3 linked regions of the Anolis sagrei genome follow. The protein of the gene in region 2 purifies or fractionates together with the protein of the main gene of each other region. This does not show direct contact. Links are inferred from orthologs where the notes say so. Each region holds a gene or a part of one and is shown on either strand. Other genes may lie near its edges.

Evidence for each region.
Region 1: the proteins of IFT43 (region 2) and WDR19 purify together in Homo sapiens (affinity purification with mass spectrometry; 3 studies listed by BioGRID and IntAct, counting the BioPlex papers as one, with this or other methods). This does not show direct contact. The link is inferred for Anolis sagrei from reciprocal best matches to the Homo sapiens genes IFT43 and WDR19.
Region 3: the proteins of IFT43 (region 2) and TULP3 purify together in Homo sapiens (affinity purification with mass spectrometry; 5 studies listed by BioGRID and IntAct, counting the BioPlex papers as one, with this or other methods). This does not show direct contact. The link is inferred for Anolis sagrei from reciprocal best matches to the Homo sapiens genes IFT43 and TULP3.

Annotation. Positions count from the first base shown.
Region 1 is NC_090025.1:119,211,691-119,219,608, reverse strand, and holds the start of WDR19 (WD repeat-containing protein 19), read right to left. Parts: upstream 3,024-7,918; 5' UTR 2,941-3,023; coding exon 2,935-2,940; intron 236-2,934; coding exon 144-235; intron 1-143. UniProt on the Homo sapiens protein: As component of the IFT complex A (IFT-A), a complex required for retrograde ciliary transport and entry into cilia of G protein-coupled receptors (GPCRs), it is involved in cilia function and/or assembly.
Region 2 is NC_090021.1:305,623,794-305,631,620, reverse strand, and holds the start of IFT43 (intraflagellar transport protein 43 homolog), read right to left. Parts: upstream 3,032-7,827; 5' UTR 3,010-3,031; coding exon 2,899-3,009; intron 211-2,898; coding exon 127-210; intron 1-126. UniProt on the Homo sapiens protein: As a component of IFT complex A (IFT-A), a complex required for retrograde ciliary transport and entry into cilia of G protein-coupled receptors (GPCRs), it is involved in ciliogenesis.
Region 3 is NC_090025.1:104,602,624-104,610,708, reverse strand, and holds the start of TULP3 (tubby-related protein 3), read left to right. Parts: upstream 1-5,062; 5' UTR 5,063-5,171; coding exon 5,172-5,215; intron 5,216-8,085. UniProt on the Homo sapiens protein: Negative regulator of the Shh signaling transduction pathway: recruited to primary cilia via association with the IFT complex A (IFT-A) and is required for recruitment of G protein-coupled receptor GPR161 to cilia, a promoter of PKA-dependent basal repression machinery in Shh signaling.

The sequences.
Region 1 (7,918 bases), on a different chromosome or scaffold from region 2:
GATTTCTCAGAGGACTCCATGGTCACTTTTGAGAGGAAATTGCTCTTGAGTATGCCAGGGAGAACATTAGTCAATTCTATAGATAATAAAATCTGCAAAAGTCAAACTCACAAACATGGAGCACTGACCATATGTTATCTTACCTTGTAACAGCAATGTAGTTTCCTAGAGCTTTTTGCCAAGCAAATTGTATGGGGGAACTAGGTGAATCCTTTTCTGAAAGGGTAAACACTCGCTATGAAAAGAAAAACAAAATCAATTATAAGTTTGTAAACATACAATATTTGATCCTGGTTATAAATGCTATTTCCTAATTGGTTCTGTCATAAAACATGGGGAAAATGTGCTGCAACACATTTTGCTATAGTTTTTCAATATCTCAGAGTCACAACAATTCAACATATTTGTGGCAGCCACAAAAATGAAGTTTCTGGAGTATAACAACTACTTTCAAAGGAAGTACCGCACAATTAAACAGGAAATAACATTTTCAAACCAGGAACAGATTTCTTTGTAACATAGCATCCTGTGAACCCAGGGAAGAGAACCCACCCCACATTTTGGATAACCTCAAATCCAAAAGATCCGGACCTATTTTGCATCCTGAAGAGCTTCTTTTAAAGCCTAGTTTAAAACTTAGATTGGATTCACCACTCACTGCCATGGAAACCACTGAGCACAATCCAATACACACAAGTTTCTCCTTAGCAATTTCCCTGAGCATCACTTGTTGAATTTTTGTTTGCTCTAAAACAATCAGGGAGATTGACATCCCTGGGAAATAGAAATCTGAATCCCTAGTTGTGGTAATAAACAAAAATTCAACAAGTGATGTTTAGAGAAATAGCTAAGGGGAAAACTTTGTTCACTATTATTATTATTATTTATTGGTTAAATGTAAGTAATTTGTAACATTGTCACAACCGCATATACACAATATATTATTATTTTTACCACATATAACACATTCTGTTGATTACATTTTATCTTTTACAGTTCAATACATCTATCACTTATAGATAAAGGTAAAGGGTTCCCCTTTACGTTAAGTCCAGTTGAGTCTGTCTCTGAGGGGTGGTGCTCATCTCCATTTCTAAGCCAAAGAGCCGGCTTTGTCCATAGACACCTCCAAGGTCATGTGGCCAGCATGGAGTGCCATTACCTTCCCACCGGAGCGGTACCTATTGATCTATTCACATTTGCATCTTTTTGAACTGCTAGGTTGGGAGAAACAGGGGCTAACAACTCCACTCCCTGATTTGAACCGCCAACCTTTCAGTCAGCAAGTTCAGTAGCTCAGTAGCTATTATTTATACATATCCATTTTCTCCCTCCCCTTTCCTCCTACTCACCTCCCTATGGGGACAGATATAACTCTACTCATTGGTTTAAACCAGGGGTCCACAATCTTTTTAAACAGATGGCCAAGTCACAGTTCCTCAAACTGCTGGAGGGCCAGATTATAATTTGGAAAAAAAATGAATGAATTCCTATGCACACTACACATATTTTATTTGTAGTGCAAAAAACGCTTAAATGCAATACAATAATTAAAATGAAGAACAATTTTAACAAATATAAACTTATTAGTTTTTGTGTGTCAGGAGTGATTTGTATTACTGTTGTTATTGTTTATTGTTGTATTGTGGGCTTGGCCTCATGTAAGCCGCACCGAGTCCCTTGGGGAGATGGTAGCAGGGTACAAATAAAGTTTATTATTATTATTATTATTGAGAAACTGCAAGTCGCTTCTGGTGTGAGAGAATTGGCAGTCTGCAAGGACGTTGCCCAAGGGACGCCATGATGATTTGATGTTTTTATCATCCTTGTGGGAGGCTTCTCTCATGTCCCCGCTTTGGGAGCTGGAGCTGACAGAGGGAGCTCATTCGCCTCTCCCCGGATTCGAACCTGCGACCCTTCAGTCCTGCCGGCACAGGGGTTTAACCCACTGCTCCACTGGGGGCTCTATTATTAGTATTTCAATGGGAAGTGTGGGCCTGCTTTTGGCTGATGAGATAGCATTGTTGTTGTTGTTGTTGTGTGCTTTCAAGTTGTTTCAGACTTAGGTTGACCCTGAGCGAGGGCTGGGTAAATGACCATGGAGGGCTGTATCTGGCCCTTGGGCCTTAGTTTGAGGACCGCTGGTTTAAACTTTATATTATTTTTTCAATCATGATGATGTTTTGGTTCAGATCCTTATAGTTTCCCTTTCATTCTGACTACAATCCTTTTCCACTTTAACTGCCAGTTCTCCTTTGGATGGCCATTCAAATGGCTTCAAACTACAAGAGAGGAGATTCCATCTGAACATGAGGAAGAACTTCCTGACTGTGAGAGCCGTTCAGCAGTGGAACTCTCTGCCCCGGAGTGTGGTGGAGTCTCCTTCTCTGGAGGCTTTTAAGCAGAGGCTGGATGGCCATCTGTCTGGGGTGATTTGAATGCAATATTCCTGCTTCTTGGCAGGGGGTTGGACTGGATGGCCCATGAGGTCTCTTCCAACTCTATGATTCTATGATTCATATATATATGATATGCAGTCTTGGAACATATACTCTGATCAATATTTGAGCCATTTCTAAAATCCCCATTTCCCTTCATCTTTCCATCCTAAGGCAACTGTTGCTTGGGTCGCTGCTATCATATATTTTGCAATTACAATCTGGTCTGTATTCCTGAGAATCTCTAGATCAGACATGAGCAAACTTGGGCCCTCTCTTGAGGTGTTTTGGACTTCAACTCCCACAATTCCTATCAGCCTCAGGCCTCTTCCTTTCCCCACACAGCCGCTTAGCTGAGGGGGTTAGGAATGGTGGGAGTTGAAGTCCAAAACACCTGAAGAGAGGGCCCAAGTTTGCCCAGGCCTGCTGCACACTATACTGTGACTTGGCCTAGAAAAGCCCAACCGCCCTCCCACCCCTCCCAGCCCTGACCGACCTGCATCTTCTCGCCTTCACTCCGACGGTGTTTAAGGAGAGAGAGGGAAAAAAACAGAGCGACTGCGCCTGCGCAATCACCCGCCTCGGCTGGCCCCTCCCCTCTCCAAGCGTCGGCGTCACCCAGGAGATGGCGGCCCCCAGCAGAGGGCGTGTCTTGTTATACGTCACGGGTGCCTGAACGAGAGTACCTTTGGACTTCAACTCCCAGAAGGCTCGGCGGATCTGGTCTATAGCCAGGGCTTCTGGGAAATGGAACTAAAATTGATACCAGTGTGGATATTCCCATATCTAAAGTAAGCAGTGGTTTTTTAAAGCTGAACGATTCTACGGTCATCTTCCAAACTAGCTGAAGTTGGCTACAGTGTCATCCTGGAGGATCTAGAGCAGGCCTGGGCCAGCTTGGGCCCTCCAGGTGTTTGGGACTTCAACTCCCACAATTCCTAACAGCCTCAGGACCTTTCCTCCCCCCCCCCCCCTCAGGCTGTTAGGAATTGTGGGAGTTGAAGTCCCAAACACCTGGAGGGCCCAAGCTGGCCCAGGCCTGCTCTAGAGATTCCCAGAGGGAGTTGCAAAAGACGATGAACTAATAACGTATCTTCTATATAATCTATACAAATAAAAATGTAAAGTTCGTTTGTGGGATTAAAATAACTCAAAAACCACTGGATGAAATGCTGCCAAATTTAGCCACAAGACACTTATAATCATCATCATCATCTATATAAATAAAAATGCAATGTTCGTTTGTGGGATTAACATAACTCAAAAACCACTGGATGAATTGACACTAAATTTGGACACAAGGCACCTAACAACCGAATGTATGTCCTTCACTCAAAAAATTGATTTTGTCATTTGGGAGTTGTTGCTGGGATTTATAGTTCACCTACAATCAAAGAGAATTCTGAACCCCACCAATGATGGAATTGAACCAAGCTTGACACACAGTTCTCCCATGACCAACAGAAAATACTGGAAGGGTTTGGTGGACATTGACCTTTGGTTTTGGAGTTGTAGTTCACCTACATCCATAGATCACTGTGGGCTCAAACAATGATGGATCTGGACCAAATTTGGCACAAATACACAATATGCCAATATGTGAAAACTGGTGGAGTTTGGGGGAAATGGACCTTGGCATTTGGGAGTTGTAGTTGCTGGGATTTATAGTTCACCTACAATCACCCACCAACAATAGAATTGGGGCAAACCTCCCACACAGAACAGCCATGTGGACCACAGCAACGTGTGGCAGGGGACAGCTAGTAATAATAATAAAAACTTTATTTGTACCCCGCTACCATCTCCCCCCGGTGGCGCAGTGGGTTAAAGGACTGAGCTGCTGAGCTTGTTGATCGAAAGGTCACAGGTTCGATTCCGGGGAGCGGCGTGAGCTTCCGCTGTCATCCCTAGCTTCTGCCAACCTAGCAGTTCGAAAACATGCAAATGTGAGTAGATCAATAGGTACCGCTCCGGCGGGAAGGTAACGGCGCTCCATGCAGTCATGCCGGCCACATGACCTTGGAGGTGTCTACGGACAAGGCTGGCTCTTCGGCTTAGAAATAGAGATGAGCACCACACCCCAGAGTCAGACATGACTGGACTTAATGTCAGGGGACTACCTTTACCTTTACCTTTTACCATCTCCCCAGGGGACTCGGTGCGGCTTACATGAGGCCAAACGTACAGTACATCAATAAACAAAAGCAATAACAAAACAAACAAAGCAATACAATTAATAAAAATCACATAACAAAAAATAAACAATACATCAACAGTAACACACAAGCATTTAAAACCAATGGCCGGGCCAAATGCAATAGATTAAAATTAAGAATAATGCTGGACATGGACAAGGTAGGATAGAACTAGGGCAGAATTTTCAAGGAGAGATGAAGGAACGCAATCAATCCCAAATCAATGGTAAAGTGCATTTTGAGGGCATATTGCTGAGGGTTTTCCTTATTCTGGGAAGGCACACTGGAACAACCACGTTTTCAGGCTCCTCCTAAAGACTGCCAGAGTTGGGGCATGTCTGATGTCCTTGGGAAGTGAGTTCCAGAGTCAGGAGGTCACCACCAAGAAGGCCCTCTCCCTCGTCCCCACCAATCGCACCTGCGAAGGAGTTGGGGACGCAAGCAGGGCCTCTCCAGATGAACGAAGAGATCGTGTGGGTTCGTACACAGAAATGCGGTCACGCAGGTAGGCGTGACTGCATTTCCTTCGTACACAGAAATACGGTCACGCAGGTAGGCATGACCCGCCTACCTTCGTGACTGCATTTCCTTTTATAATCCTGCATGATCTCTTCGATCCTAGGGGGAGACACTCCTCTTGCTCCCACCTACATCTCAAGTGCGACTTGTGGGGATGAGGGAGGGAGCCTTTTCCGTTGTGGCCCCTCAGCTTTGGAACTCGCTACCTAGTGAGATTAGGCAAGCCCCCGCCCTGACAGCCTTTAAGAAAGTCCTAAAAATCTGGCTCTTCTGGCATGCCTTTGGCAAGTGAACACATCCCTATATCATGTCCGTACCAAATATAGTTCTGTCCTCATGATGCACTTTTTGTTGTCTTTAATGTAGGCTCAATCCCATTGTTCAGCCCTTCTGAGTTGCCCCACAGACTCATACTTCTCCATTTACTTATCTCACCCAGGGTTTTATCAATTTTATTCTGTGCATTTGGCCCGCCTACCTTGCTTTTATTTTCTTCTTCTTCATCATGTTAGTTTGCATCTGTTTATTTCATTTTCTGTTATTGGATGTATTTTATTTTGATGTTATTATTTGCTGTTTGTATTTTATTTTATTTTGTTGTCCTGTAATTCAGGGCTTGGCCTCATGTTAGCTACCTCGAGTCCCCTTTGGGGAGATGGTGGCAGGGTATAAATAAAGATGATGATGATGATGAGTATTATTATTATTATTATTATTATTACTACCCTGGACTGTGCTCTGACTTACAAGAAACACTGCTTGTATATCAAGCAAGAAGTGGGTGCCAGAAACAATATCGTACAACAGCTGACTGGCACAACCTGGGGATCACAACCAGATACAGTGAAGACATTTGCCCTTGCGCTTTGCTATGCTGCTATTGAGTACGCATGCCCAGTGTGGAACATGTCTCACCACACTAAAACAGTTGATGTGGCTCTTAATAAGACATACTGCATTATCACAGGATGTCTATGCCCTACACTACTGGAGAAATTATACTGTTTAGCCAGTATTGCACCACTTGACATCCACTGGGAAGTAGCAGCCAATAATGAAAGGAATGAGGCAGTGACATCTCCAGCCCATCCTCTGTTCGGATATCAGCCAGCACGCCAATGCCTTAAATCAAGAAATAGCTCTCTTAAGATCTATAGAGATACTTGCAGGAACACCTCAGCAAGTGAGAGTCCAAAAGTGGCAGGGTAAAGCCCAGAACCTCAAGCAATGGCTGATACTGAATGAGAGACTCACCCCTGGGCACACAGAAGACTGGGTGACTTGGAAGGCACAGAATAGGCTGCACTCTGGCACCACAAGATGCAGAGGCAATCTTAAGAAATGAAGTCCACGACATGCATGTGTCGAGAGAAGAGAAGAGCAAACCACAGACCACCTAGTACAATGCAGCCTGAGCCCTGCCACATGCGCAATGGAGGACCTTCTTATAGCGACACCAGAAGCACTCCCAAGTGGCCAGCTACTGGTCAAAGGACATTTAGTATAATGCCAAGTTTTTTAAAAATACATTACAACTGTACCCTCGGTTCGCTTCTGAAACAACAAATAAACTTGGCACTGAAAACATGTCAATGTTGAAGCTAATTTTGTCTCCAGGGAGAGGCATCACGTAGCCCATGCACTCTGCTTCATGTCTCCACACAGTGTACTGCAGATCTTAGTATGTGGGCCGATGTACATAGGCAGAATCACTCCTTAAAATATCTAAAGAAAAAGATTTCAAATCTAGAACAGCGACCTTCCTCCCCTTTCCACCTCTCCACACTTTAAAACTGCCTGAGTTAATGTAAATGATTGGTGATAATTACATATCACTGTTCTGACACCCTTGAGGAGAGCTGGAATTTATTTTAGCTGGCATGTGCTCTGCCTGTAGGTGCCCATCAGAATTTTCTAAATTTTTAATATGCATTTTTAAAATCAATGGGAGACTATAAATTGGCACTCCTTGCATTATATAAACATTTATCTGAGTTGCAGGTTCATTTTAGTTATCCTGGACTTTCCCATAACAGATGCTGTTAATTTAAATCCTCCATAATACCAGTATGATGCTATCAACATTTGCTGTTATTGACTTAGAAAATTTATATATGGTTCTCCTGAGATGCTTCATAGATATTTTACAAAAATATATCATCAGCTTTAGCGATGCTCTACTGATTATATTATAAAGACTATTTTTAAAAAATGAATGGTCAGATGTTTTGTTTTCTTTCCATTTAAAGGCTTATTTCAAGGCATTCTTACTTAAGCCATTGTTTAAGCCAGTGTTTCTCAAACTGTGCTCCTCCAGGTGTTTTGGACTTCAGCTCCCAGAAATCCCAGCCAAATTACCAGCTGTAAGGAATTGTGGGAGCTGAAGTCCAAAACATCTGGAGGAACAGTTTGAGCCATTCTGGTGTAACCTATTGCTTGCTCATCTTAGGATAGGTACAGGAATCACACGGGCTTTCAGGTGTTTTTGGATTGCGACTCCCAATAATTTTAGTCAGCATAGAAAATGGTAAGGAATGCTAGAAATTTGGACCCACCAACTTCTGTAGAATCACAAGATTGCCATTAATCTTAAGAGAAATGAGTGGGTGTACTTAGTATGTGGAAAGATAGGTACAGTATGTAATGGTTTGAACATTGGATGACGAGTCAAGGAAACTAAGAATCTGTGCTCAGCCACAGAAATATACTGCATGACCCTGGGTAAATTCACATTCTCTCAACCTAGAAGGAACCTTTAAAACTGTT
Region 2 (7,827 bases):
TACAGGATCTCAATTTCCACCTGTGTCTAAGATGTCTACCTTAGACAAAAAAAATCATTTGGTTCCCTTTACTAGAGAATTAAACCCCAGGCTGTAAGCAGTGTTGACCAATTTAAATACACCTACCTCTACAGGAGGAGAGTTGATCCTGCTACGACGATTTTCATCATGGGTGAAATCCGGATGAGCTCGTCGACCCATTTTTGCTATCTACATAAAACACAAAGAGTCCAAATGGTTCAAAAGTCCAGCGACAAAAATGTATGTTGGGATTGAGAACTTTTGGCTTTTCAAATGTTTTGGACTGCAACCCCCAGAATCCTTTAATGTTAAAAATGTTAGTTGAGGCTTTTAAAAGTCTTAAGTCCCAAATTCTGATTGTCCAAAGTTTTCCCAGACATAATAGACAGATCAAAAGATAGACAGGTTAATCAGCAATTCCCCACTGTGTTCCACAAAAGCATGGTAGGGATTCCACAAAAAAATCTTTAAAAGCTTTTTGAAAAATCTTTTTAAGAAGAGTATGAAGATCTTATCAAAATTCAGTGTACCTCTGCTTTAAAAACAAAATTTGTATCTAATTCACTAAATATTTAGCAGACTACCGTCTCCAAAACTACATTAGCAAAAGGAAAAGTTACTACAGGATGGTCCAAATCAGAAAGTCATGGGAGGCAAAATGGAAAGGCTTAATTTACAGAATAAAGGGAAAGATAATTATAAGGAATTAAACAAGATTATCCTCATGATCAAACCATTGTAGTAAGTACAGCAAAATCTGAAAACTGTTTCTGGGAAGGAGAGGGGGGAGAAAGAGGAGAAATGATGTAAACATATGTTAACAATGGAAAATATTTTGAATTTTTGTATAATTTTGTGCAGAGCAATTCACAATAATTTTGAAAATAAATGTTTTTTAAAAGGAATTTTTTAAAAATTAAAAACCAAAATTTGAATCTGTGCCACTGAATGATTCTGGATAAGACTGATCGACGTATAGCTCTCAGTAGTCAGAAAGGCTATCAGAGCAATACTCCTTCCAGGTGCCTCTGAGGCAGGTTCTTGCCAAGAAAACCTTGTGATAAGGTCATTTTAGGGTGGCCATAAGTCAGAAATGACTTGACGGCAGACTGCAATAGACTTATTGGAAATACTTTTCCACTGAAAAAAGGAAACAGTAAGAATTTGCGTCAAAAGATTTTACAAACAATGGCAGCTACAGTGAGAACTGACTCTGCGAGCTTACAAAAGGATCTTGTAAGGCATGTGAGACTAATCTTGAGACAAAAAGGTGGTTGCTTTCGCAGATTTAAGTCTACCTCATCTGATACCTCGGTTTCTTCATTATTACACAAAAGAACAATTAACTGAAACCTATTTGGACCTGAAGGAAGTCCTTACCTAAACATAGTAGGCCTTTGTCATCAGCTGAGGTTTGGTTCTACAGTGCATTATTATTATTTATTTATTTATTTATTTACAGTATTTCTATACCGCTTTTCTCACCCCAAGGGGGACTCAAAGCGGTTTACACATAAGTAATGGCAAAATTCAATGCCAGTACAAATAATTACAATTATACACTACACTCAAACATAAATCAAATAAAAACCATAGTTCCATAAGCAATAAAACAGTCTTGTTCGTCAAATTGCTGTTGCTGTCATCGTCTTCCTGAAATGCTGCATACCTTTACTTCTACTGCCCGAAGGTCCCAAAACCATAATTTTAATTTTTTTTCTAAAAGCCAGGAGAAAGGGAGCGGATCTTACCTTATTGGATGTATTGATGTTTGTTCATTTACTGATGTATTGTTGTATTGTTTTAACTGCTTTAGTGATTGTTTAGATGCTAATGCTATGCACTTTGTATATTGTCCTGTTGTAAACCGCACTGAGTCGCCTACGGGCTGAGATAGTGCGGTATACAAATAAAGTAAATAATAAATAATAATAATTACCTCATTTGGGAGCGTGTTCCATAGGCGGGGGGCCACAGCCGAGAAGGCCCTGTCTCTTGTCCCTGCCAGGCACATCTGTGCTGTTGACGGGAGCGAGAGCAGGGCCTCCCCGGATGATCTTAGATCAGGGGTCCACAAACTTTTTAAACAGAGGGCCAGGTCATAGTCCCTCAAACTGTTGGAGGGCCGGATTATAATTTGAAAAAAACATGAATGAATTCCTATGCACACTGCACATATCTTATTTGTAATGCAAAAAACACTTAAAACAATACAATAATTAAGATGAATAACAATTTTAACAAATATAAACTTATTAGTATTTCAATGGGAAGTGTGGACCTGCTTTTGACTGATGAGATAGGATTGTTGTTGTTGTTGTGTGCTTTCAAATCATTTGAGACTTAGGTTGACCCTGAGTGAGTGCCGGGTAAATGAGCTTGGAGGGCCGTATCTGGCCCCCGGGCCTTAGTTTGAGAACCCCTGTCTTAGATTATGAGTTGGGACATAGGAGCGGATGCGTTCAGACAAATAAGCTGGGGAAGAACTGTGTAGATCAGGCCTGGGTAAACTTTGGGCCTCTAGGTGTTTTGGACTCCAACTCCCACAATTCCCAACTGCCTCAGGCCCCATCCTTTTCCCTCTCAGCTGCTTGGCCCAAGTTTAAGTAGCTGAGGGGGAAAAGGAAAGTGTCTGAGGCTGCTGGGAATTGTGGGAGTTGGAGTCCAAAACACCTGGAAGGCCCAAGTTTGACCAGGCCTGGTGTAGCTACACCCTAGGTGACTTTGAGCAAAGTCACACTCTCTCAGCCTCTGAAGAAGGCCATTAACCAATCTTGCCAAGAAAGCCGTGACAGAGTCGTGTTAGGCCGGATTTGAAGGCAAACAACAACAACAACAACAACAACAACAACAAGGTAAAAGTAACAAGGAGCACACCGCGGAGTCCTGGCTCTTTTCCTCTCCCTTCCCCCAGAGAGACTCGGCCTGAGGAGAGAGGCACGGCTGGCTGTCGAGCTCCGCAGGCCGAGGCCGACTGGGCCGCGCCATTTTGCGCAGAGAGAGCGGGAGGGAAAACCTGGGCGAGGAGGAAGCGCCCCCTCCCACCGCCGTCGCCATGGCAACCCCAGGCTGGCCTTACCCCCTTGCAGACTTCTTCGTCCAAATCCAAGTCGTCCTCCATGGTGCAAGCCCCCTGTCGCGCGCGCAGGGAAAGGGAGAGCCGCCTGCTTCCTAGAGGAAGCCCCGCCCCTTTCAGCGTCCTTAGCAACCGCAGGCTGCCCTTAAAGCCGGTCTCGTCTCCCAGGTGTTTTGGACTTCTGCTCCCAGAATCCCTGCTCATTAGCCAAGGCAGCTAAGGCTTCTGGGAGTTGAAGTCCAGCTGCCCAAGAGGACTAGAGTTTGGGCGGGACTGTCTTAAAGGAGCCGCAACCCCAGTAACAAGTTCACTTGGACTTGTCAAACAAACTTCTTCATAGCTACCCTCTTTTCATTATTTTTTTGCCTGCAATCCCCATTCTGATTAATGACTTAACCAAAGGATGGGGGGAAATCTTGAATTATTTCAATATCTCCATTGTCTACAGCAGGCATGGGCAAACTTAGGCCCTCCAAGTGTTTTGGACTTTTTTTTGTCATGTCAGGAGCGTCGTTTCTGTTGTGAGAGAATTAGCCGTCTGCAAGGACATTGTCCAGGGGACGCCCGGATGATTTGATGTTTTATCATCCTTGTGGGAGGCTTCTCTCATGTCCCCTCATGAGGAGCTGGAGCTGATAGAGGGAGCTCATCCGCCTCTTCCCCGGATTCGAACCTGCGACCTGTCGGTCTTCAGTCCTGCCGGCACAGGGGTTTAACCCTGTTTGCCCATGCCTGGTCTTTAAGACTTACAAGAAGCACTTCTTCACTATCAAGCAAAAAGTGGGTGCTAGAAACAATATCATCCTCATATCATGTGGTGAAACATCAGGAGAGAATGCTTCTGAAACATGGCCATGCAACCCAGAAAACTCAGAGCAACCCAATATCATACAAAAGCTGACTGGCACAACCTGGGGATCACAACCAGATACAGCCCTTGCACTTTGCTACTCTGCTGCTGAGTATGCACACTAGTATGGAATACATCTCAGCACATTAAAACAGTGGATGTGACTATTAATGAGACATGTCACATTAATGAGACATGTTTACGCTGGAGAAATTATACTGTTAGCCGGTATAGCACCACCTGATATTCGCTGGAAAGTAGCAGCCAGCAATTAAAGGACCAAGGCATTGACATCTCCGGCCCATCCTCTGTTTGGATATCAGCCAGTACACCAACACCTTCAATCAAGAAATAGCTTTTTAAGATCTACAGGGATACTCGTAGGAACACTGGCTATAGATAAGGGCAAAATCAGAATGGTTGAAGCATTGGTGCATTGCACGTTGTCCAAAACACCATATTAAGGTAGAGATGGATCAAACAAACTTCCAGTTTATGCTAAACAATTTAATTAAAACAACACTTACTTTCTGGCTGTTATAATAGTCCAAAATATAAAACATAAACATAGCAGTCAGCCACAGAATATAAAACAAAAACTGACAGCAAACACTGTTGCATGTTCAAGATAACACCGTAGTCAAAAGGTCCAGTTCAGTGGTCAAATGCCGAGAGTTCAATGAGGAAGTCCAGGAATCAAGAGTCTAGTCAGAAGCCAGTCCAGAGATTCAAGATTCCAGGGTTACAAGAGTACTGAAGACAAGTAAGGATACCAAAAATCCACAAACCTGGGGGAAAACCAGCAGCATCTACCAGCAAAATAAGACAATTACTTTTCTCCCGAAGATTAGTTCCAAGTCTAGTTCATTATATCCAGAAACACTATCTCTTGCATGCCTCCATCCTTAATTGCTTTCACCCATGAACTCTTACTTACAGATTACTCAACCCTTTAGAACTAAGGGTTGAATTAATCCTTTCATCACCAACTGCTAGGCCTACCACCACCAACTGCAGAACACATGTGAGCATAGAAAGACAAAATTCAACTATGTGGTGTTATGAAAAATAAACCACATGTAGTTCATCTTTAACCAGCCCACATACTGCCTTGCCAGGGAAAGAAAATATGCCATGCAGGTGAACAGTTAAGAACAAGTAGTTTACTCTTCTTAATTTAGAACAACATCTGTACAATATGATCAGCTGTATCAACTTACTAAATGTCTTTTATGTTGGAGGAAAGTTCTGAGAGTGCCTTGGACTGCGAGAAGATCCAACCGGTCCATCCTCCAGGAAATAATGCCCAATTGTTCATTGGAGGGAAGGATACTAGAGACAAAGTTGAAGTACTTTGGCCACATCATTAGGAGACAGCAAAGCCTGGAGAAGACAATTATGCTGGGGAAGATGGAAGGCAAAAGGAAGAGGGGCCAACCAAGGGCAAGATGGATGGATGGCACCCTTGAAGTGACTGGACTGACCTTGAAGGAGCTGGGGGTGGTGACGGCCGACAGGGAGCTCTGGCGTGGGCTGGTCCGTGAGGTCACAAAGAGTCGGAGACGACTGAACAAATGAACAACAACATGAGAGATTTAAAATGGTCCTTTCTGTGTCCATGTGAGCAACCTTCTTTTAGCAGCCAAGAAGCAAATCAGTCTCTCTCTCTCTCTCTCTCTCTCTCTCTGCTTCTCTCTTCTTCTCTCTCTGCCCCTGCATAGCCTAAGCCTGAACAAAAATGTAACAGTATTCAAAAGTCTCAAGTTCAGCCATCTCCCTAGGCATTGCCTGATCAATCAGCTTAATGCATCTTATTTTACAGTGGATACACACTGCACTCACTGATTCCTTGCATGATCCAACAACTCCTCCCTAACTCAAGTAAAGTTGTGAGTAGTTGTGCCTTTATATCGCCTATTAACTATTTTACAGGGAATGCTCAGAGGTGGGGTTGCCAATTCCTAGAGATATGTTTTTTTGGGTTTTAAAAAGGGCACAAATTTATTTATTTATGCTTTTTCACTTTCCTGAGAGTCCTGTATCCCTAACTCCAACAATTATAGACTGTAATATGATTTTAGATTTTTATTCCTGTGGGGTATTTATCCTTAAACTGAATTCTTACACATGCAGGTATTTAAAGCTAAGTCTCCCTGAGGGATAAATGGGGGCCACAAGTACATATGATGTTTTTAATATGCATCTTTCCATCCTAACAGGCCTTGAAACGAAACCTCACCACAGTATCCTATTTCTGTAATAAATAGAGAGATTTCTCATATCCTGGAAAGGTCACATTAGGTAAGACTTATGCTTTTAAGTTTCAAGATGCAGTTTAACAGCTGGAAATAACTGGGAGGAGGACAGAAGGCCAAAACACCCAACCCACTCTTTTTTTGGGCTCTGGGGCAAGCTTTCTTGGAAACCACTCCTATATATAAACAGGGGCTCCTCCTGGGAGATGTGTTTTCTTTTTAAGAAGCGCACATCTCCCGCCAGAGAGCGCTGTTGACTTCCCTCAGCAAGACTTTCTCAAACCCAACATTTGGGGACTTTGCCTAATAAAATAAATGAAGCGCAGCCTGCCTTGATCACTGGGCAAGAGACGCCACAAGCCTCAGCAGCTGCCTGTTTCTGTCCACAGTCAAAGGCTGCCCAGTCATGCCCAACGTTTTATGGAGGCAACACGCTTTTAAGGCCCTTTCACTTGAGAAAGAGGCCAAGAAGTTCAAAGAAAGGGCCTTTCACACATAGGCAAACCCACTCTCTCCCATACAATTACAGAGTTATTTTGTTTCTGCTCTCTATGAATGGAAGCACCCAGCAGTCCTATCATAGGGCACATATATAGTAATAAGATTCCACTATGCACATATCTTATTTGTAGTACAAATAGACATGAAATAATACAATATTTAAAATGAAGAATCATTTTAACCAACATAAACTTAACTTACCAGTATTGAATTGGGAAATGTGGACCTGCTTTTGGCTGATGAGATAGTCAAGCTAATTAAGATTGTTTTTGTTGTTGTTGTTGTTGTTGTTGTTTGCTTTCAAGTTGTTTCAGACTCAGAGTGACCCTAAGTCTAAAGTTTAGGGCAGGGGTGGGTAAATGACTTTGGAGGACTGTATCCAACCTGTGAACCTTAGTTTGGGGACTCCTGATGTAGAGGAACTACACTATGACTGTTTGAAACTGCATTATATAGTCAGTGTAGGCACATATAATGAAGTTTGGGGTGCACTGAACTGCATATGGGTCTACACTGACCATATAAATGCAGTTCCAAACAGCATCACATAGTAGTGTAGATCAAGTCTGAAAAGGCTTCAGATTTGGGATATTATTAAAACAAGACGAGAGCCAGTATACCGTAGTGATTTCAGTGTTGCACTAGGACTTTAGGATTTACGGGTTCAAATCCGTAATCGGCCATAGGAACCAGTTTTCCAAAGATCAATGCAATGGAATCAAGGGAGTTCTAGTTTTACAAGGCCTTTATTCTTCTCTGCTGGTGCCTTGCCAAACTGCAACCCTAGGATTCCATAGAACTGAGCCATGGCTATTAAAGGGCTGTCACATTATGTTCATTCTACAGTGTAGATGTGCTCTACAGTGTAGATGCATCCTACTTTACTTTCTAGTAAAGCTAAGCAACACATCGGTATAGTTTAGATCACTGGCAGTTCAGACCACTTGATGCGTTTGAACTGGCTTGGCAGGCACTGTTAACAATTATTTAAACCACTACTTGCATAATTGGCATCAGTTTTTTTGCTCAAAGAGAGGTGGGGATGGGAGTCTCCAAAAGTGCAGACATTCCTCCTCAGTGCATTTACACCGCATGTATCAACTCAGGGCCCACGGGCCAAATCC
Region 3 (8,085 bases), on a different chromosome or scaffold from region 2:
AGCTGTGGACAAGTCTACACAAGGACCACCAAACGCATCATTGCCCAAACACGAATCAAGGAACATGAAAGGCAAGGCAGGTTACTTCAACCAGAGAAGTCAGCCATAGCAGAGCACCTGATGAACCAATCTGGACACAGCATTTTATTTGAGAACACAGAAATGCTGGACCACTCTCACAACCACCATGTTAGACTACACAGAGAAGCCACTGAAATCCACAAGCATGTGGACAATTTCAACAGAAAGGAAGAAACCATGGAAATGAACAAAGTCAGTTAGAGCAGGAGTAGAGTCCGTATGCTGCAGTGAGATGTCAGTTAATATATGAGTCTGTTTGCAGCAGATGTATAGTACAGTGAGTTGAAGTATAGTACAGTGTAGTACAGTTTTAAGTTTAATTCAGTTGACATCTGTTTCAATAAGCAATGTACCTTCTTGCTAAATACACAAAGCTTGTAAGTATATCAACGATGTTAACTTTTAACGAAGACTACTTATTTTTTTGGTCTCTTAAGAACATGATTTTAAAACAATATATTTTATGGGAGAGTAGATTATATATTTTTGTGCAACAGAAATAACACTTCTGAAGATCTGCTACATATTTTATGCATTGGCATTTCTTTGTTCCTAGCGGTTCAAAGAGATAGCCAAGTATATCAGTCTAACAGCTGAGAAGCCTAAACTGCCTTGTATAAATACTAGTAATTTACCACTAAGGTAGTGGTTCTCAACCTGTGGGTCCCCAGGTGTTTTGGCCTGCCAGAAATCCCAGCCAGTTTACCCAACTGTTAGGATTTCTGGGAATTGAAGGCTGAAACATCTGAGGACCCACAGGTTGAGAACCACTGCACTAAGGAGAAGATTGACTCAGGTGAGTTTGTAACTCTTCTTGGGAAGATCATACTTTACAAAATGGTTACGATCTCTATCAAGGTCATGCCTTTCCAAAAGGTTATGATTATTCCAAATAGTCTGGCTACCAGTATTGAAAAAACTCTACAATTACAACAGCAAAACAACAGAGAGGAAACAATATGGGACATGTAATCACCTCTCAACAAAAGATTGCCCCAGGCACTGCCAGGCAATCAAATGCTAATCAAGGTGGTCAGTTGAAACATTCACACCTAGCTCCAGGAAACAAGAGTCCTTTGTCCCACCCTGGTCATTCCACAGATATAAATCCTTTTCCCTAATTCCAACAGACCTCACTACCTCTGAAGATGCTTGCCATAGATGCAGGCGAAACGTCAGGAGAGAATGCCTCTAGAACATGGCCATATAGCCTGAAAAAACCTACAACAACCCAACAAAATTAGTGTTGCATAGTGTAATCTGTGTATCCCGCCCTCCCTCCACACTAAGCTCTCTCCCACCAAACCTAAAGGACTGGTCCCTTCCCCGGCCTCTTGACCCCATCCTCGCCTCTCTCACCTGTTCTTGGGGCTGGAGCGGCGGGGACTGGCTGCAAGCCCCGTTCTCCCCCGCCTTGAAGGGAGAACGTGGCGAGCCAGCCGCCAGTCCCTCAGGCGGTCGGTACCGCCGTCTTCCGCCTCTTGGGTTGTTTGAATTTGGCGCCCAACAAGGACGTTCGACGCCACGTGACGGCGCCGGGCCAATTAGAGCGCAGGGGGCGGAGCCTGTGAGGAAGGAGAGCGAACGGTAGGAGCAGCGGCCCAGGCGCATCTCTTTCGGAGGCAGACTTGCTGTGTATGTGTACACATGCGTCAGGATAGGTGTTTTGAGTTTGTATATGGGTGCCCTCACCTGCCACAGTCATTCCCCAGCTCTGGCTCTCCACGGTTTGGAAGGGACTCCAACTCCCAGAAGCCTCAGCTGCTCTGACCCAGGATAAGGGATTCTGGGAGTTGAAGTCCCAAAGGGTTTTCATCCTCCAATGTGGTTTTGCCAGTTTCTTCCTCTGAAATGCTGCCTGCAACAGCTGGCATTTGTCAGCGGCGTCCCATTCAAGAGCTGGCCCTGCTGACTTTGCAGGATCAGACGCCATCTGGGGCGTTTAGGATTTATGTTGACAGTTAACTGTCCTGCAGTTCCAGAAATAAACGGAATCACCAAAACAGAGATATTAATAATGTTGTAAAATAATATTTATACTTAATAATACAATATTTTATAATAATATAATATTTATACTTATGATATAATACAATATAATATGATCTATATAAATCAAAATATAATGTTCGTTTGTGGGATTAACTGAACTCAAAAAGCACTGGGGGAATTGACACCAAATTTGGATGCAAGACACCTAACAACCTAATGTATGTCCTTCACTCAAATTTTTTTGATTTTGTCATTTGCGAGTTGTAGTTGCTGGGATTTATAGTTCACCTACAATCAAAGAGCATTCTGAACTCCACCAACGATGGAATGGAACCAAACTTGGCACACAGAATTCCTATGACCAACAAAAAATACTGGAAGGGTTTGGTGGGCATTGTCCTTGAGTTTGGGAGTTCTAGTTCACCTACATCCAGAGAGCATTGTGGACTCAAACAATAATGGATCTGGACCAAACTCTACACGGATACTCAGTATGCCCAAATGTGAACACGGGTGGAGTTTGGAGAAAATAGAATCTTGACATTTGGGAGGTGTAGTTGCTGGGATTTATAGTTCACCTACAATCACAGAGTATTCTGAACCCCACCAACGATAGAATTGGGCCAAACCTCCCACACAGAACCCCCATGTGGGCCACAGCAACGTGTGGCAGGGGACGGCTAGTCTATATAAATAAAAAGTAATGTTCGTTTGTGGGGTTAACAGAATTCAAAAATCACTGGGGGAATTGACACCAAATTTGGACATGATACACCTAACAACCCAATGTATGTCCTTCACTCATAAAAAAACAGCAGAAGGGACTTAAAAAGCTAAATGACGAAAAGCTAAATGACAATACAGAAAAAAAGGAAGAAAGAGGAGGGAAGGGGAGAAAAGAAAGAAAGAAAGAAAGGGAGGGAAGAAGGAAAGGGAGAAGGAAGCATATAAGCAAAGAGAAAAGGAAGGAAAGAGGTAGAGAAGGAAGAAAGGGAGGAAAAGAAAAAGGGGAAAGGAAGGAAAGTTAGAGAAGAAAGGAAGGAGAGAAGGAAAGAAAGAAGGAAGGAAAGAGGGAGCGAAGGAAGGGGGGAAGATGTAGAGAAAGAGGGAGGGAAGGAAAGAGAGGAGGAAGAAAAGAGCAGAAGAGAAAGAAAAAGGGGGAAGGAAGGAAATAGATAGAGAAGGAAGGAAGAAGAGAAGGAAAGACAGGAAAGAAGGAAAGAGGGAGTGAAGGAAGGAGGGAAAAAGGGAAGGTTGGCCACAGCAATGCGTGGCAGGTACCACTAGTAATATAATATTATTTATTTACAACATTTATATGACGCCCTTCTCACCACGAAGGGAAATCAGAGCGGCTTACAAGATAGATATACATACATACATACAAACACACACATACACACACACGCTGTGCCACTAGGGGCCCCCAGTAGTATAGTACAGTATAATAATATATTTATTTATTTATTTACTAGATTTATATACCACCCCTCTCAGCCCACAGGCAACTCAGGGCGGTTTACAGTCAGTACCAATACCAAAAAGTACAATTAAAACATTAATATAAATATAAAAGAAGTAAAAACAATCAATATCAATTAAAAACATATATAATTAGAGTCTCCTTGTTCAAACAGTGTCCAGTCACGTCGTCCAGTCTTTCCATTTTTCATCTGTAGTAGTAGTAATTTTATTGATTAACCCTTAGGCCATATCACAATAAGAAACAGAACAACAAGGTCTGATAAGACCCGATCACACTCCACGTAGTAAGTTAAAATAAGACACTTATAACGATACAGTAAATAAATATGATAAGACATGATAAAACTGATAAACTGATCAAGCTGAGTATATACATCATATTTCATTATCACCCCTACAACTTACCCCAATCAGCCCTAAATATGTGGTTCTCAGACGTATTGTTTTGCTTAAGTACAGAGCTGTTTTGTATGTTATTTTTGGGTCTTGACCACACATAAAATATGTTGTTCTGATGTGAGATTCCCAATACATTGTCCATTTGACAATCTAACCATTGTCTCGAGCTGATCAAATCTGACTCGAGTGAATACCTCCCTGAGATTTTTCATCTGTAAACGCTTACTCGGCCCCTCTTCCTTTTTCCCTCCATTTCCCCCAGCATCATTTTCTTCTCTAAGCTTTCCTTTCTTCTCATGATGTGGCCAAAGTACTTAATATTTGCCTCTAATATCCTTCCCTCCAGTGAGCAGTTGGACTTTATTTCCTGGAGGATGGACTGGTTGGATCTTTTTGCAGTCCAAGGCACTCTCAGAATTTTTGCAACACTATTTTTGTTGGGTTGTTGGTTTTTTCGGGATATATGGCCATGTTCTAGAGGCATTCTCTCCTGACGTTTCACCTGCATCTATGACAAGCATCCTCAGAGGTAGTGAGGTCTGTTGGAACTAGGAAAATGGGTTTATATATCTGTGGAATGACCAGGGTGGGACAAAGAACTCTTGTCTGCTGGAACTAGGTGTGAATGTTTCAACTGACCAACTTGATTAGCATTTGATGGCTAATAAAGGTGGTCAGTTGGAATTTCAAGCATAATTGGCATTTCGGAAGATCTGTGCACGATGGGTACCCAGGATGCTGACGCTGGTTGCGGAAACAGTGTCGACTTGTTCTGTGAAGGCTTCAGAAAACTTGTTCATCGTTGGCAGAAACGTATCCAATTGTCTGGTGATTATGTGGCAAAGTGAATAGTGGTAGTTTAAGAGCACATTGTAAGGATTATTTCTGCGTTTGATTTATTAAAATATTCCCATCCAAACCCAAGTAACGAAGGTGGAGGCATTACTTTTCAATCAACCCTGGTAGAGAAAGATGTTGAAGAGCCCTGGGCCCAGGTCTGAGGAGAAGGCCGACGTCACGCTCTTTGCAAGTTGATGCGTGGCTTTGTTTTCTCCCTCACCCCGCTCTGGCTGCGCCCAATGAGGAGCAGGCGTTGTGCGCACGCGCCGCCCAGTGCCTCGCGGAGGCTCCAGGGGCGGGAAGGCGGAGGAGGGGGGCGGTCCCAACCCGGCGAGGGGGCCGCCCCCTCCCCTGGTTGCCATAGCAATGGCAGGATGGCCAGCCGGAGCGGAGTGACTTTGGCTACCATGGGAGCCAGGTGAGGCCAGGGCCCGAGGGTCCTCTTGGCGGGGCGCCCCCTTTTGGGCGAGGGGGGTGCTGGGGCCGCAGCAGAGGCTGGAGGGAAGCCCAGGAGGGCGACGCCCGGCCCGCGAGCTTGCAGGGATCCCCGCCAATCAGCAAGCGCGCGGAGGCCTCCCTGTCTCGAGCTCTGCGGCCGGAGAGAAGGCTTTTGCAGTGTATCATAGAGGCGCTGCTTCCTCTCACCCGGAAAGAAGGGAAGGGGGCGCCATGGCGGCTGCTCCTTCCCCCATCTCCTTGGTCCTTTTCATCAGTCAAGCCTATTTTTATCAGTGGAAGGGAGGCGCCTAAAGGCGAAGAGCAGGGAGGAGGGCACCCAGATCTCTGGAAGTTTTGAAGCAGAAGCTGGATGGCCATCTGTCGGGGCTGCTTTGATTGTTCTTTTCCTGCATGGCGTGGGGTGGGCTAGATGTGGTGACTTCCAGCTCTGATTCTTCCATCTCCTTCCCCCTAGCAACAATATAGTACTATAGAACACTTTTTTTTTGTTCTGTCAGGAGCGACTTGAGAAACCGCAAGTCGCTTCTGGTGTGAGAGAATTGGCCGCCTGCAAGGATGATTTGATGTTTTATCATCCTTGTGGGAGGCTTCTCTCATGTCCCCGTATGAGGAGCTGGAGCTGATAGAGGGAGCTCATCCGCCTCTCCCTGGATTCGAACCTGCGACCTGTCCGTCTTCAGTCCTGCCGGCACAGGGGTTTAACCCAATGCACCACCGGGGGCTCCTATATAACACTAATATTGTGCTATGCTAATCTATATAAATAAAAATGTAATGTTCGTTTGTGGGATTAACATAACTCAAAAGCCACTGGGGAAACTGACACCAGATTTGGACACAAGACACCTCTCAGGCCAACAAGTGACCATCACTCATAAAAACACTGAAAAACACAGCAGAAGGGACTTTAAAAAGCCAAAAAATACATTACAATGCATACGCAAAACCACATATATATACACAAACACACATATATACACACATATATGCATACACACAGAAAGAAGGCAGGAAGGAAAGAAAGAAGGAGGGAGAGAAGGAAGTAAAGAAGGGTAGAGAAGAAAGGAAGGAGGGAGAGACGAAGGAGGGAAGGAAAGAAAGAAAGGCAGAGAGGAAGGAGGGAGAGAAAGAGGGAGAGAAGGAGGGGAGAGAAGGAAGGAAAAAAGAAGAATAGAGAAGGAAGGAAAGAGAGAAGGAGGGAGAGAAAGGGAAGGAGAGAAGGAAGGAAGGAAGGAAGGAGAGAAGGAGGGAGAGAATGAAATAAAAAAGTGAAAGAGGGAAGGAAGGAGACAAGGAAGGGTGGAACCAAAGAGCTAAGGAAGCGAGAAAAGAAACAGAAGGAACAAAGAAGAAGGGAAAGAAAAAGAGGAAAGGAAGGAAAGAGGGAAGGAAGGAAGGAGAGAAAGAAAGAAGGAGAGAAAGAGGGAGGGAAGATTGGCCACAGCAACACGTGTCGGGTACAGCTAGTAATATATATTGTATATACATATAATATTGATAATAATAATATAATAATAATGATAATACAATATAATAATATTAATTCTATATTATATATTACATGTAATATTACAGTATACCAATATAGGACAATATAGTAATATATAATGATAATTTTGTGCTATGCTAATAATCTATATAAATAAAAATGTAATGTTCGTTTGTGGGATTAACATAACTCAAAAACCACTGGGCGAATTGACACCAAATTTGGACACAAGACACCTATCAGGCCAACGAATGACCATCACTCATAAAAACCCTGAAAAACACAACAGAAGGGACTATCTATATATATAAATCTGTTAGGTTGGTTCAACCGGACAGCAAAACTCCACAACCCCCCAACGAAACTGTACCAAAATTGCCATGCCCATAACACAACCCACAAGGTACAAACATATCTACTCAAAATGAAAAACAACACAACAACACACTCACAAAACGGCAAAACAACAAAACTCAAAAAACCCCAACGAAACTTAACCAAAATTGCCATGCCCATAACACAACCCACAAGGTACAAACATATCTACTCAAAATGAAAAACAACACAACAACACACTCACAAAACGGCAAAACAACAAAACTAAAAAAAACCCAATGAAACTTAACCAAAATTCCCATGCCCATAACACAACCCACAAGGTACAAACATATCTACTCAAAATGAAAAACAACACAACAACACACTCATAAAACGGCAAAACAACAAAACTCAAAAAACCCAACAAAACTTAATCAAAATTGTCATGCCCATAACACAACCCACAAGGTACAAACATATCTACTCAAAATGAAAAACAACACAACAACACACTCACAAAACGGCAAATCAACAACACTCACAAACCCCCCAACGAAACTTAACCAAAATTCCCATGCCCATAACACAACCCATAAGGTACAAACATATCTACTCAAAATGAAAAACAACACAACAACACACTCACAAAACGGCAAAACAACTGAGCATGCGCATTGGTGCCCAGCCGCAAGTTCCCTGGCGCGCGCACACAGTTCCCTCTGAGGAAGCCATGCCCACTCCAAGCCCCGCCGCGCCGCTTCCCGCACACACACCCCCTGCCGCACGCACACACACAACCCCACGCTCTATCACTCCCCCCGCCGCACACACACACGCAACCCCACGCTCCATCACTCCCCCCACCGCCACAGACACACACGCAACCCCACTCCCCCCCGCTGCCGCACACACACACGCAACCCCACGCTCCATCACTCCCCCCACCGACACACACACACGCGCAACCCCACTCCCCCCCGCTGCCGCACACACACACGCAACCCCACGCTCCATCACTCCCC